Linked DNA regions of Lonchura striata. The protein of the gene in region 2 binds, or shares a complex with, the protein of the main gene of each other region. Links are inferred from orthologs where the notes say so. Each region holds a gene or a part of one and is shown on either strand. Other genes may lie near its edges.

Region 1 (7,844 bases), on a different chromosome or scaffold from region 2:
AGACAGACCAACCTGCCCCTCCGACAAGGGCCTCCTGCTGCAGTGATGTTATTCTTAAACGTGCAAAAATCTCACACCTTTCCTTGCGATGAACTAATCTGAAGGAGGCAGAACAGCCTCGCATCCCAAGGTGTATCACCCTGAGCCATCAGGAAAAGCCCAGCTGTGCTCATTTACATCTGCTTCAGACTTACTTTCAAAAAGAAGAATCGGTTCAAAACCTTTGCAGGGCTACAGCATCTAAGTTTATTTAAACCCTGCAGCGTCCATTTTCTGCACCAGCGCTGCAGACACTGGCAGAACAAAGAGCAAACCACCGGCGCCCTGCGCAACCTGGCTCCAAAGAAATATTTCCTTTGTTTGCACATGCTACAAGGGCTGAGTTGTCTTCACAGCAACATGATGATTATTTCTGAAATAAAAGGTTGGGTATGACTGTTCTGCTGGCATTTAATGTGCTAATCAGACTAAACTCAATACATTTTAACTCATTTCCCCCCATAGCAGCATGCTTATCAGTATATTTAGCTCTAGCGTACTTCAGATTTTTTTCTTATGTTCCATGTCAAGCAGACAGATATCCCCCTCCTCTCCTGCCCAAAGGCATTTTATGCAACACATGCAGTCTATTTTTAAATTCAGAAAATGGCACCTACTAATGTACAAGCTTAGAATATCTAAATATATTTTTATAGCAAGCTTGGTGAACAGACCAAAAGAAAGAGATTAACAATTAAATGATGGATTTATATCTGTAACACTAATCTTTGCAAATAGATATGTAAGGTAAAAAAGATATGCTGTAATTAGTTTATTTAAATTCATCCACACATTGGTTTTGATAAAAACACATTTTACATTCTGAATATTTCATTGTTAAATTCCAAAAAGCCAAAGTTTATACCATACCAAGAGACCTGTAAAAGCATTCTCTTACATTCCTCAAAACCACAAATCCCCAGTGGCCTCCTTTTTGATCCCATGGATCTACACACAAATTACTCTTAATGTCTTAGAGATTGCATAACATAACAGTCTTCCTGGAAGTTATGTCTGTGCACCCTTGGTCAATGACAATTTACATGGTTTGAAGAGATAAAGCAAATGTAATCTAATGACTGGAGCACAAGTTAATTGTATACTGACTAGAGATTCTGCAGCTCCAACAAGTAAATTCCAAGAGTAAGAAAAATACCAATAATCATTATTGTAAAATAGTCTTTTCAATTCCAGTAGAAAACTATGCAAACCTATCAAATATACCTGATCTTACCATATCATGAATACAGCCTGGTTAAAGGCCCTCCAAGATCACATAACATCAATATAAATAGTCTACTCCCATTGTGCACTTGTGGCACCTTACTTTATGTCCAGCAGGAGTTTTAAACCTTTTAGATTCCGGTAACTTACAAATACAAAATCATTTTTCCATATATGAAGCACAGAGAAGAACGTGCCTGCATTTCTCAAAAGATTTAGAGGAACAGATGTGTATGTGCAATGTTCAGATATGCTCACGTTTTTTTAGATTAACATCTGATAAGCCTGGATACTTCTTTTTCAAACTAAGCCCAAAATAACATTCTTGGAATTTTTCACTTAAAAATAAAGCTCAGTAGAAACATTTCATCGATCATATTCTAAAGATACAACCCTAAATACCAATTTAAAAAATTAAATGGCAGATTTACATGCCTGCACTGGAGCAGGAGGTGTGTCATGTATATCTAGATATAAAATTGGTGGGTTTAGATGACTGTGGTTAATTGTGCTCTCTGCAGACATTAATGCCTTCATCCAAACTCTCCCCTCAAGCAGTCACCTACAGCAGCACAGCTGCCCAGGACAATATCCACATATTCTGAATATCTCCAGTGAGGGAGACTCCACAATTTCTCCCAGCAGCCCTCAGCACTTAGTCACCCTCACAGTAAAAAAAGTTTCCTTATCAACCCCAGTTCTTTAGGGCTGAATAGGTACCTGTGCAGACAAAATCTGACAGCAGGCCCCTACATGCATCTTTAGCAGCATTCCCCAGGACTTCACTGCCATCCAACCAGCAGGAAGCTGCTCCCTGTCCATCGCTGTGCTGGGCAGAACTCTGCAAAGGCTCCCAGACAGCAGGGACCTGCGGTACACAATACAGGCTTACTCTTTGTGGATATGTGCATGTGTATCTCTCTCCAAAAAATATCTACGAGTTGTCACATCTGTGGTAGGCACAAAATTTAGGAAAAGCCTGAATCTAGACACCAACACTTGCATATCCTACCTGACATTTAAGCCTGACTGAGCTGTTGTTGTACACTGGAACTGCTGAGATTGATGCTGAAGGGGCATCTTCACAACACTGTACTGCACAGACTGAAAAAAAACATCTCTTAGTACTGTGTTCTGATCAGTGGTCACCATAGGTGGCGCAGAAACCATCACGGCATCTACACTCCCAGCACTCCTTGTCTACAGCATCCAGCAGCTGATGGGAGCAAGTACTACAAACCCCGACAGACACGGCACAGCAGCCTGGGTCCCCTGTAAAACCTACAGCCGTACACATCTGGCTGAAGCAGGAGTAACATCTGGCACATCACAGTGCCCAGGTAGTCAGCTGACCCAGAAAAATACAGAGATAACCCAATGTTCCTCACGCACTGCAACAGCTGTACCCTACTCAGTATTGCCAGACAAATACACGGTCTCGTTAACAAGCTTCACCTGCCTGTCTGCCCAGAGAGCAGCCAGCCGCCCCCTGCGCTGCCCCAGGCTGGTCCCTGCCCAGAACCGCGCAGGGCCCGCGGGCCCCGCGCCCCAAGCGAGGCGCCAGCGCAGACACCGGCGGGGCGGGGACCCGCGGCAAGCGACGGCGGCGAGCCCCGCGCCCGTGCTGAGCCCCGCCGGGAGCGGCCCCGAGCGCTTCCTCCAGGGCCCGGGTCGGGCCGGGAGAGCCCGGGCTGTGGACAGGGAGCGCGGCCGCATCACCTGAGGCCGCCAGCACCTCGCAGGCGCCCGGCTCGCAGTAGATGGCGGCGAGCGCCGACAGCTCCTCCCGCGCCAGCTCCGACATGGCCGCCGGCGCGCGCCGCCGCGCCCCCTGCCGGCCGCGGGGCCTGCACCGCCAGGGGGCGCCGCCGGCCCGGACCGCGCCGTAGGGAGGAGAACAAAATGGCGGCTCCGCCCGGCCCCGCGCCCTGTCCCTGTCCCTCCTCCCGTCCGCCCGGCCCTGTCCCTGTCCCTCCTTCCCGTCCGCCCGGCCCCGCGCCCTGTCCCTGTCCCTCCTCCCGTCCGCCCGGCCCTGTCCCTGTCCCTGCCCCTCCTTCCCGTCCGCCCGGCCCCGCGCCCTGTCCCTGTCCCTCCTGCCGTCCGCCCGGCCCTGTCCCTGTCCCTCCTGCCGTCCGCCCGGCCCTGTCCCTGTCCCTCCTGCCGTCCGCCCGGCCCTGTCCCTGTCCCTGTCCCTCCTCCCGTCCGCCCGGCCCAGTCCCGAGCACTCCGAACCTGAATCTCCGTCCCTGCCCCAAGGTGCGGAGCGCTGTGCCAACAGTACCATTATGATGCCTGGAAGATAGGCTGGAAATAAATCCTCAGAGAGCAATGTCTACAGAGCAAGTATTTGTTCACAGCAGCCTGGTGGTGAGGAGGATATCTCTACCTGCTGACCCACCTTTGTCACGGGCTGTGGTACGTTTATACAGGAACTGGTGCTTAGTGGTGCTGTGTCACTACAACATCATATAGGCACCATACATTACATAATATGATCTCATGGTTATTAGACCATTAGAGAGGCTTGTGCCTCCCCAGTTCAGGGCTCATCGGAGGTCTTTGACGAAGGCTTCCAAGGTCTTCTTCACATCTGAACTATTCAACTTTGTCTTTGGAGCATGCGCAGTTACAGTGTTCCTGGGTCTGGTCTTGACTGGCCTAAATTCTTTGTTTTGTGGCCAGTTGGCTTTGCATTTGCCAATTTTTCATTAGTACTATACTTACCTGTCTCTGAAGCTATCCACCTGACATGTTTTTTCTTCTTTTTTGTCTATTCAGCATTAAACAACTAGTTAACCATATGCTAGATATTACATTGTATAAAAAGTTATTTATATCAGGTTATATAGATATAAAAAACTGATTCAGGTTATCTAGATAGCAAGTTATATAGATATATAAAAAGTAATTATTTAAGTTATATTGATATCAGGTTATATAGATACATCAGGCTATACTGGTATCTTGTAACTCAAGCTATATAAGCACATTGTAATTTTGATCTAAGTTATATAGGCATATTAACTCCCAGGCAAAATCATCCAGTATGTCCCATTATTACAAAATCTCTTTTAAAAGCAAGGGCTGTGGTGGGGGTACTTCTTAGGAGAGTATATCCTGGTATTTCTAACCCCCTAAGTTGTGTTGAAATAACAAGGACTAAGAGCTGGCTGGGCAGGGGAGGAGGAAGATGCTGGGAGGGAGCAGCACAGCCAGGCTGCTGTCAGGAAGAAGGCTGTGGTGGAAATTAGCCTTAGAAGTGCCTCCATTCCATTATTAAGAACTTCCTTGCCCTGGTCTTTCCCCCTTCTCCTCTGCCACTCTGCATATTCCATTTTACCTGTTTAAATAAAAAAGTCGATGTAAATGTCTTTTGAATTGACACTATCACAAGACATGGTGGTCCCTATGAATAAGTTACTGCACTCTGACATTTGGAAGTCATCAAATGAGACAGTATAATGTCAGCTTGATATTTTTCAGTCTATGAAAATATCAGCTTCATGTCAAAGATCTAAATTCCATCTTAATGTAATAAATTTTCATGTATTCACAGACAACTGAAAATGCTAAATATTTAAATTTGAAATGAACATCTACAGTTACAATCTGGCCTTCATATTGCATTATTATGAAATTGAAAGTCAAGATCTTATTTCCGCTCTTTATTTTTTCAAGCATTGAAGTGTTTGATAGAATTGTAGCCATATTCTCTAAATGGATACTTCCCCATCAACATGTGGCAAATAAAGTTTAAAAAAAAAGTTTCACTTTTTAGTCAGCCTATATTAAACCAGCTCCAAGATCCTGTCACAGAACAATTGTGCCACCAGTATCTTCCACTTTGCCGGACAAGGCAAAGAGATTGCAACCCTTCATACATAGGTTAGATTAATCTTCCCAGGGTTATTTGCAAAAGCAGTATCCTTTGCCTTCCACTCACTGTAATTACAGCCTCAATTGGGTGTTGTTTCAACAACCACTAGTGAATATACACAAAATGGTGCATTTAGACCAGTTTTGCCATAACCTGAGTGGCAAATCAGAGGAGGAGTAGACAGACATTTGGAAAAAAGTAAATTTGGAATATCCATCTGTATCTTTTTACCATCAGTTCCATGCCAGGCCCTTTGCCACCTCCGCGATCGTAACTGCAGGCAGAGCTAAAAGCACATCCTGCAGAAGACATTAAAGGACACAAGGAAGTCTAAAGTCACTGCAGGTGCCCATTTGGGGCTCACAAGACCACATAAGGAATGAGGAATCCATAACCACGGGAAGTTGACAGCTGACCAGTGCAACACAAACCACTTCTGCCTTTTGTCACTGCTGCAGGACAGCTGCAGTGCCTGTATTTTCTGATACCACACTGCTGCCAGCTCTAATGCAGCCAGAATGGCATTGTCAGAACTGTCCTTACCCGAGTTAATAGCAATGCTTTTTCAGAGACCTGAGAAAGAAGCTACCATTTCTCTAAAAACAATTGTGTTATTGCAGTGGTAGAAGTCTTACCCAAAGCGGCTTGTACAAAAATGACAGAGAGAAACCAACAGGAAACTTGTAAAAAAATCTCTCCAAATAAACTAAGGCAAAAGCTTGAAGGAAACAGAAAAAGAAGCAAACCCAGTAAATGTGAAAATACATGATAAAAGACAGAAGTATTTTTCTCCTAGTATTCTTAAGTACAACTAGTGGAAAAGTTTTCCTTTTTTTTCTCCTGTGTTTTTTTTACAGTTGAAATAAACTCATTTAACAAAAAATTTACATTGCAAATTAAAGCTGCCAAAAATTGCTTGCTTTGCTCTAAGGTTAAATTCAGCATTTTCATGAGGTTTTGCTTTTCAGTTCTTGAAAATGAGGCAACAAATTCTCAGTGATATATAAAAAAATACTTAATTTGAGGGAAAAACAAAGCAGAGGAAAAACCTTTTCTATTACTTTTCCTTTTAAGTATTTTAGAACCAAGTTTTTCAAGGATTTGTGATCTAGCAGTGCTTTTTAAAGGCACTTGCATTTATCCTCCATGCATCAAACTGCTCTCAGTCAATTCCCTGAGACACTTAATCTTTTGGCAGATGGAAACTCATTTTGAAAGTGTACTAATGATCAATTAAAGCATTAGCTATCTCTGCAGACAGGAGGTTTATGGGGTCATAGTCTTCAGAAGCTGGAGGCAAGAACAGCAGCATGCTAGCAAAATAGCTAAAACTTTCTGTAGTTACTACAAAATTGGCATAACACTGGAAAACAAAACACATTACAGTCTTTTTTTTTCCCCATAATATGTAGAAAACAAATGTGATGGTTTCTATTTTATGAGAGAGGCCATGGTCCAAACTGAATATCAGCAACAGAAATAATCTAATCTTTTCAATTTTCTTAATGAAGCCTAATAACTATCCTAATAACTTCCAATAAATTTACATAATCCTTTGAAAATTGGATTAATTCTGACTCCAGTCAAAAGTATGTACCCACACTGCAAATAGGCAGACCCCTATTGTGGGGAGCTGCCACTGGAATCTGTGGCTCCCTGGTAACAACATGTCATTTCACACATGGCCAAGGCCCCACAATAAGGTCTGCAGTACCTTCTGCCCAGAAGTTTCTATGCAATGTGATGTACAAGTAGTAAGACCAAATAATGTAACTATCACATTCATAAAAAATATGATTATTCCTTTAGGAGTTTGACATGCCATTTTTTCTTGAAGGAGATGCATATAAAAGCAATTAGCCATCTAATGCAAACTAAAATGGTTGCTTTTTATGACCTGACATGTCTAATATGACCACAGATTCCACTGATGAGAGAATCAATACTTACTTGATTCACTGCATAAATATCTTTGCATGCAATTTACCTTGTACAGAGGTAGAATGATAAACAGAATACATTTTCTTTCAGTGAGAGTGAAAATGGATGAAGTTGCCTACTAAAAATCTGTAAAAAGCTAGCAATCCTGTGCATTTTTTAAAGTAACATATGTAAAGATACTTGTGGGTAGGAAAGGGTATGATACTGAGGAGATAGGCACATCTAGCATTGAGTACTATATTCTAGTCTCAAAATGTTCAGCTTCCACATCAAGTACATTGGCTTGTGGAACCTTACTACACATGGCTTCTCCTCCAGGTGTAAGCAAAGGAGGCTGAGAATTAGCAGGCCATATCATTTAGTCAGTGCTGAGAACAGAAGTCTTTAAAGTGATGGCTCTGAAAGAGGCATTTCTACCCTCTATAAAAAACAAACTTTAGTAGAAGTCCAAATATTAGGAAGTACTTCTTAGTCTGGCAGTTCATTTTTAGCTGCTGAGCTACAGCAACCTGCCTTCATGTTTTGTAATTTGGCACATTAGCTCCTCTTCCCCTGCACTTTGATACAAGAGCAGAACAAACACAATGGGAGTGCATAAGATGACAGACTATTTATGACCATTTTCAGAGCACTGAGAGGTCCTTTGTCACTCTCACACCTTTTGAAAGCAGAACAGTATTCATTAGTGCATTTGCGACTCCAAATTTACAGAGCACATTAAAGTCCTGATGGTAAATAAATTATGTAAACACTAGGCAGAATT
Region 2 (7,159 bases):
ACTCTTTTCATTTTCAGACCAAAAATGCTAAGGGCTAAAATGCTTTCCAGGGCTCATTTGAGATTCAAGAGACATACAATTTCTAAAAAACAACTAGTCCATTTCAACTCATGGACTCTAAAATATTTTTTACAAATGTCTGAACCAATTGCATATGTAAGTGTTCCTATATGGCTTGGATTTTCAGTATCCAGATGGGGTAAGAGCACACTAGAGAAGACAGTACACTTACCGTCCACTTTATTATTGCCTTTGCTGAAATATAACAACTTTTATGAACAGCACTGGTAATAGAGAAGCTTTGAGGAAGATTCTGCCCCAGGAAATTGTCACAGAATATTTCTTTGCAACTTAGTTGAACTTTACTTAATGATGTCTGCCAAGGCATAAACTTCTCAGAAGTTCAGTGAGTAGATACTTCTGCAAATACAGCTTTCTGGAGGCTGTCTGGAAAGACATTTCACAATAACTTGAGGATATTGTATCTTAATAAGTACTATAACAAGAGAAACTTTTTTTAAAGTCATTTTGCTACTTTGGGGGTGAGTGGAAAGGGAAGAGGTTCTGTGACAGAGCTCTCCTTGCCTTAGAAAGCTAAGCCTAAATTTTGACCCAAGACCTGTTGTGATTTTGAGGCCTTGTCATCTGAAATGAGTAAAGAGTAAGAATAAAAGTATTTATTATCTATATGATTCTTGCTACTTTTGAAGATTCTCCAAAAGCTTATGCACAACTTTACTCACATTAACTTGGCTCATGTGTACTTGCTAGAAAGAAGCAAGTGCCAAGGCCCTCTTAAAAGGAATGTTACCAACCTCTCTACTGGAATTAGATCACCGGACTGAAGCAGTATCAAATGGCAGCTTTTTCCACCTGCTTCTTACCTCAACCTAGCTGTGAGAAATCAACTTCCTGTGCACTCTTTAGGATCACCTACCCAATTCAACATTTTTTTTCTTTTTAACCTTTCCCTCCAAATCACTGGTCTCAAAATTAGTTGTGCATCAGCTGTTTGTGCTTATACCCAAGTGGCCATACTTGCAACATGTCATTTCCTGGATAGTGGATTAGCAATAACACTTTATTTTGTGCCAATTCATTATCTCTGAAGTGTTCTTACTGCAGCAAAATTTGAGTTAGGATTTGGTTTTAATGCATTTGCATTAACCAAAACTCATAGCACAGACACTAGACAAGAAACTGAAGAAACTGAAATTTCCAGGGAAATTTCCCTGGAAAAAAATCTGCTAGGGCTTCCCAAATAATTTGAAGGTGGTTACAGTTAACCATCACTTTCAAAACAAACAAATGAAATGTGTATGGGTATTTTTTTAACTTCCTTTTCATAACACTAGTGTATTGTAAATTGCATGAAATAAACCTGGTTTTTCCCTTTTAAAGTGTGATGTCTTACATCTGTCTTTTCTAAATGCACTAATTGATATTAATAGTGTCATATCCTGTGACAATTCTAGTTTAGCACTTGAGATGTAAAATGTAGTTGCACATTTGTGCAGTGATTCAAAGCATTAATGCTTTCTTCTCTGTAAAGAAGTATCCTTTACTGCTGCCCCAAAGACTTTGTCACAAAAAAGTTAGGTCTATTCAGATATATATCAGTTGGGAAATTATTTTCCTTTGCAGTTGCTGTGACATGCTGGTTATTGTAGGAGGAAATAGTTGTCTCTTCTATGGATATATAATCACATGAAAAAGTTTTAACTAATGACTTTGCTTACATTTTCTTTTGCACAACTCAAAAACCACCCTGCCTAACAGCAAACATTCTAGAATCCGCTAGTTTGCTTTTTAATATAAGTGCTTCCTTTGTTTGAAAAACGAAGCTATTGGAAATTGATGCTTTGTAATAAGTCAAACATATAATAAGTTTCAAGGATAGAAATGGCTTAAGGAAGTAAACTATAAGTACAAAGTACAGGTTGTTGAAATTATCCAGGAAATTTGACAGTTGTGTCCTCTACAACTATAGAAAAGTTTATAATTGAGTATTAGTATTGAGAAGACCACTGGACAGCTCTTACTTCCCAAACTGCTAGTAAGAACTTGAGAAGCTAAGACCCATGATTTTTAAATTCCTAAAGCCTCTATAGTTACATGTGAAGCAAATTTCATCTTAACAGTTTAGTCAGTTTTAAGTGCAAAGCACATTCTATTATTTCCTTGTATATTCAGCAACATCAGTAAAATTCTAATTTTACTAAACTGTTTTGCTGCATTTAATTGCATTTGAATTTTACTAAAATAAGTGCTAAGAACAAACACTGCTGTAGTAATCAAGTATAGCAATTACAGTAATTAAGTAATCAGTGTGTGCACCTGTATTTTCATCAGACTGTCCTACTAAAAATATTTATATTTTAGAGTCAGCCAGCACGACTTTCAATCCAAATTCATATTCTATATACCTGTTGCTGTGTTTTCGCCATTTAGGAAAAATGAGAGCACAAAAGAGACAAGTGTCTACCCTGAACTAGAAACCAGGTTATAAAGGGGACATAAACAACTTAGTCATTAGCAACCTGTTTTGATCTTTTATAACATCTAGGGTTCATTTGGCACTAGTTTTCATTTCAGTGAGAAGTTTCACTTCAAAAAGATGAAAATGATCCTGCAAATTCACCGTTTTGGGTGCTGTTCATCTTTCAGTGTGCTGAACTCTTGCCTCATAAGTCATACACACATGTATGTGACATTCTCAGAGACTGTAATGTGTACAATTTCGTGAGAGAGGTCCTGCAAGCCAGGTGTTGACAGTTTCCACTGCTTTTCATGTCACTGTGTGGAAAGTTACACAGGGGAGTATGTATTTATCCTGGTCTACAGTGTGCATTTGCCCCTGTTGAAAGGTTTCTTAGGTAGAGTGATCTTTGCTGAAGATTTTGATTAGGGCTGATTGGAATCCAGGTGATTATTTATTGAAATAGTCAATCCTAGACTTCTGAAGAAACCATTTTGAGCATTAATACTACATAGAACATCTTTCAAGTAACATTGATACAGACTAGCACAAGGCAGCGATTTCAGGACTAAAAATTCCTCAGTTTCATTAAGAAAGACAAGTTCAAGATGGGAATAGAATGTGATTCATACTCCACTTGCCATTTAAAATGTGTTCTTAGAAACCCAAACAACATCCCTCCCACTCGTCCCCCGCCAAGGAAACCAAACCCAGGTCAGAAATCCCGTAAAGGTCAGCGAAAGCAGCGCGGGCCGGAGGCGAACGCAGCCCGCCCCCGAGCGGCTGCCGGCTCCGATAGGCCGCCGGGCCCGGCCGCCGCCGCGGGAGTGCCGCGGGAGCCGCGGCCCCGCCCCGCGGGCCCGGCCGGGCAGGGGCGGGGCTCGGCCCGGCTGGAGCGCGGCCCGCAGACCCGAGCGCGCCGGCGACACACCAGGCCTTCGGAAGCGACAGGCGGCTCCCGGAGCGCCAGAGGTAAAGGTTGATTCGGCTCTCGGCCGGAGCGGGGCAGCGGAAGGCACGGGAGGTGCTCGGCTTCGGTGTAGCCCTGCGGAGGGGTTTCTAGTGTTCCGTACTCAGGCACTGCTGGGGGCACCTCTGGGTCCTGTGTCGTGAGGATGCGCAAAGCGTGACGATGGGATCACAGACGGATCGGGCCGAGGGACAGAATAGCGCTTTCGCGCTCGTCGGCGAGGCGAGAGGGAGGGAAACTCCGGAGTGGAGACAAAGCGGCGGGAGCGGGAACATCCGGGTCACTGACGCGGCCTCGATCCGGGACACGCGCGGCGGCGGCGGCTCTCGGTGAGGCCCGCCCGGGAGTGGGGCCGCGGCGGCCCCGGGGTCGGGGAGCGGGGCCGGGCCGGGCGGGCGCCCCCCGCCTACGGCGGGACGGGACGGGAGCGGCGGATGGACGTGCGGGCCTGGCGACTGCTGCCTTGTGGCCGGGCCGGCCGGCGCGGCGCGGCGCTGCCCGCCGGAGGTTCCGAGCGGCTCGCAGCTCTTGGCGGTGGCGGGCGGAGGTCGCCGAGCGGGGCGTGGAGCCGCTCGGTCTGCGCGGTCCGTCCCGCCCCGCCGGGTGGCTGCCCGGGAGCGGCGGGCGGGCCCGCGGTGCCCCGTGCAGGCCTTGGGCGCTGCCTCGGCCCCTCGCGGGGCCGACGGGACCGGCGGCCCTCGGTGGTGGCGGGCGGGCCTCGGCCCTGTCCGCTCACTTGGCCGTCGAACACCGAGCCCATCGCCGCGCGGCATCTTCTGTTGTTTAATGAGCGACTCCGGTCGCCGCTCGGCCTCTTCTACCTTTCTTGCCGCAAGCAGAGGAGACTTTCTATCCTAGTCCAGAGTTAGCGTGCTTTGACTAAAGCTTAGACCGTGGCTTTCTCCACCCTTCTGAAAAATAAAGTTGCAATAGTTCGGGGCAAACTATTTCGATAATACTGACTTTCTATGTCAGTATTTAACCTGCAAAGTAAAAAATGAGGCTAGCAATCTTAACGTTTTGGGGACTTTTTTTCTTGCTGCTTGGAATCAATAAGTCGTACTGAAAGTTCTTGAACCTCAAAGAGCATATTGTTGATGTATTTAGAGAGTTGTTTGTGGCACAGGAACGATTCCTTGCGAGATGTGCGTTTTGTGTCTGAAAGTAGGTTATTCCACCTCATCGGAGAGTGTAAATGGGTAAGATATTCTGTAATGGGACACAAAAATTTGCATTTATGATAAGCGTGATGATTTTATTTCGTCCTTTTTTTAAAATAGGCAGTAGCAGCAGCAAAGGCAAGCTATTGAGTAAATTTGGAAGTTTCTGTTAACTTTCTGAGTTGATGGCAGTAAAAGGGACATTACTACCTCTTAATGGCAGGGGTGAATTTGGGGGATTCAACTCAAAACGTGAAGAGTGGTCTCTTTGACTTTCATGGCATGTGCCACAAAATAGAATTGAATAGACTTCCTCTGGTGTAAAATTCTTTCTGTTAATGTAGTACATAAATAGATTGGGATATAGAGAGTTTATATTGCCAGTTAGCTTGTGAAGGGATGCTTAACTAATGGGATCTTAGTTTGTGAAATGAGCTTTCAGTCTTGTTTAATCTTTATTTTCTGTTAGACTGATGAGGTTTTAGCTGCTCGTCAGTGTAACTGAAGTCTATGGAAACCATATATGTGAAGCTTGTTGTCTGTCATACATGCTGAAATTTTTCAGTGCTTAACTAAGTCTAATGCCTCAAGATTTGGAAAGTTATTTGTAGACCATTAGAAAAACCTTTATTGTACTAAGGCACAGTATAGTGTGTAAGAAAAGCAAGTACTCGGGATTTTTTTTTTTTTTTCAATTACTCAAAAAGTTACTGGGTTACTGATGTTCTGCAGAAGATCCGCTGCTTATTTACCCAGTGAGAAACTGGCGTTTCCCTTGAGGTTCATGTTGTAATTAATTGGCTGTTAGCCACAGGAAATGGAATAAATATATTTGAAAGCATCCTGTAATGCATTTTTTTGGCAGAAAAGGTAGCTGAGTTTGGTGAACTATGTGGGAATATTTGGATGGTTTATAAGCAAATATGCCTGTGATGGGAAAGTTAGTATTGGTACAGTGGACTACCAGGTACCAAAGGCACAGCTGAAATTCTGCTGTACATTCAGTTCATTTACATCTCTTACAACATATTAAAACTTGCTCATGACATAGTAAAACTTGCAGCCTGTATAATTTGGTTAAGGGAGAGGATTTTTGTTGTCTTTGGTTTCTTGGGTTTTTTTTCAGTTCTACTGGTATTTTTTTCAATGGCTCTGCATCTCCAGCTTGTGAGCAGACTAAAATCTGAAGTCATGTGTACACATTCCCTAAGTCCTGCAAGTCTTCTGCCATAATTAATACAGAGGTGGATGTGTTGGGACTACTGGAGGAAAATCAGACTGAACATAGGAATATTTTTGTGTGTGTGCATGTCCACTGAGTGTGAATTGTCCCTTTTAAAAAGCTTTATCTGACATTAATTTAGTTGCTACTTTGAAAGTGAATTAGGGAATATGGCCATCTAGGCAAAACAGTCTTAAAAGGTTGGAGAACAGATTTAAAATAGATATTGTTCTAGGAACTGCATAAGCTGCTTAAAGTTCTACAATTCATATGCTTATAATAGTAGTAGACTGCAGTACTTCTTATAAATAATCAACATATTGAGAGGTTGTGAAATTTTGCATAATCCTTAACCAGTGTATAAGGGTTTGTTTTAATAGAGTGGTAACACTGCTGAGAGTCACTCTGTGAGCTCAAGTGGAAGCATTCTACTATTCTGCTGTCAAAAAGGTTTATTATGGTGGTTACCATGCTTGGCTATTACTAAGGCCGTGAAGGTTCAGAAATAGTCTTCAGTTTATACTGGAATTGAAAATCTGTCTTGTGCAATGAGCTGCTGGCTCTTCCTTAGCTAAGTTGCTGCCTGTTCCTGATGTTGTCTAGAAGTTTTATAGCAGCATCACTGCAAAACTGAGATGACTTTGTTAAATTCTATGCCCCTGTTGCTTTTGTGGGGAATACTGGCTTTCAATGGGAATTTACCCAAAAAGTAGTATTTCTTATTCCCATTTGCAGAAATGGGAGTAATACAGGTGTTTGCCTACAGAAGAAACTTGCCATATTGCATGTGGTGTAGGAGGGAGATAAAGAGTGTGTCATTTGCACAAGTAGGAAGTCTGCACACTTTTTCCATTACTAATACTGTTTCTATTGTCAAACTACTGTCAAAGTTTCTTCGAAGATGGGGTTCAAATATAAAACAATAAGGTAAGAATGGAATTTTGTAGGTCATGTCCAGTAACTAAGAACTTGATGGCATAGGGAAATTTGATGTTATTCCTGATGATAAATTCTGCCAGCTGTGAGAAACATGTGGCTAGGTTATTGAAGTGAAAATGAGAGGTCAAAATTACTCTTGAGTGAGCAGGGGCTTATAAACACATAATGCATTGTTTATGCTATAAGTTAAAGTATATGCTAACAGCAATTACTTTTGTTTCAGAGGGACTCTGAATATGTCTGGCATAGCTCTTAGCAGACTTGCACAGGAGAGAAAAGCCTGGAGAAAAGATCATCCGTTTGTAAGTACCAAAGCCACCAAATCTGACTGCAATTGTTTCAGTGTTCTGGTGATGATTTTTTCATTACCCTGATAGGATTTTTTTTTA

Evidence for each region. The genes of interacting proteins can lie anywhere in the genome.
Region 1: the proteins of UBE2I (region 2) and RWDD3 are in contact, whole or in part, in a crystal structure (PDB 4Y1L), measured with the Homo sapiens proteins. The link is inferred for Lonchura striata from reciprocal best matches to the Homo sapiens genes UBE2I and RWDD3. Residues at the interface, in NP_003336.1 of Homo sapiens: Leu6, Ser7, Ala10, Gln11, Arg13, Lys14, Arg17, Lys30, Gly34, Thr35, Met36, Leu38; in NP_056300.3 of Homo sapiens: Glu3, Pro4, Glu7, Ser10, Val11, Ala13, Ala14, Ile15, Cys17, Pro98, His101, Glu102, Leu105.

The regions. Positions count from the first base shown.
Region 1 is NC_134611.1:21,409,729-21,417,572, reverse strand, and holds the start of RWDD3 (RWD domain-containing protein 3), read right to left. Parts: upstream 3,083-7,844; 5' UTR 3,068-3,082; coding exon 2,983-3,067; intron 2,711-2,982; exon of another isoform or gene 2,283-2,710; coding exon of another isoform or gene 2,276-2,282; intron 1-2,275. UniProt on the Homo sapiens protein: Enhancer of SUMO conjugation.
Region 2 is NC_134618.1:17,602,566-17,609,724, forward strand, and holds the start of UBE2I (SUMO-conjugating enzyme UBC9), read left to right. Parts: upstream 1-4,142; 5' UTR 4,143-4,592; coding exon 4,593-4,648; intron 4,649-6,993; coding exon 6,994-7,072; intron 7,073-7,159. UniProt on the Homo sapiens protein: Accepts the ubiquitin-like proteins SUMO1, SUMO2, SUMO3, SUMO4 and SUMO1P1/SUMO5 from the UBLE1A-UBLE1B E1 complex and catalyzes their covalent attachment to other proteins with the help of an E3 ligase such as RANBP2, CBX4 and ZNF451.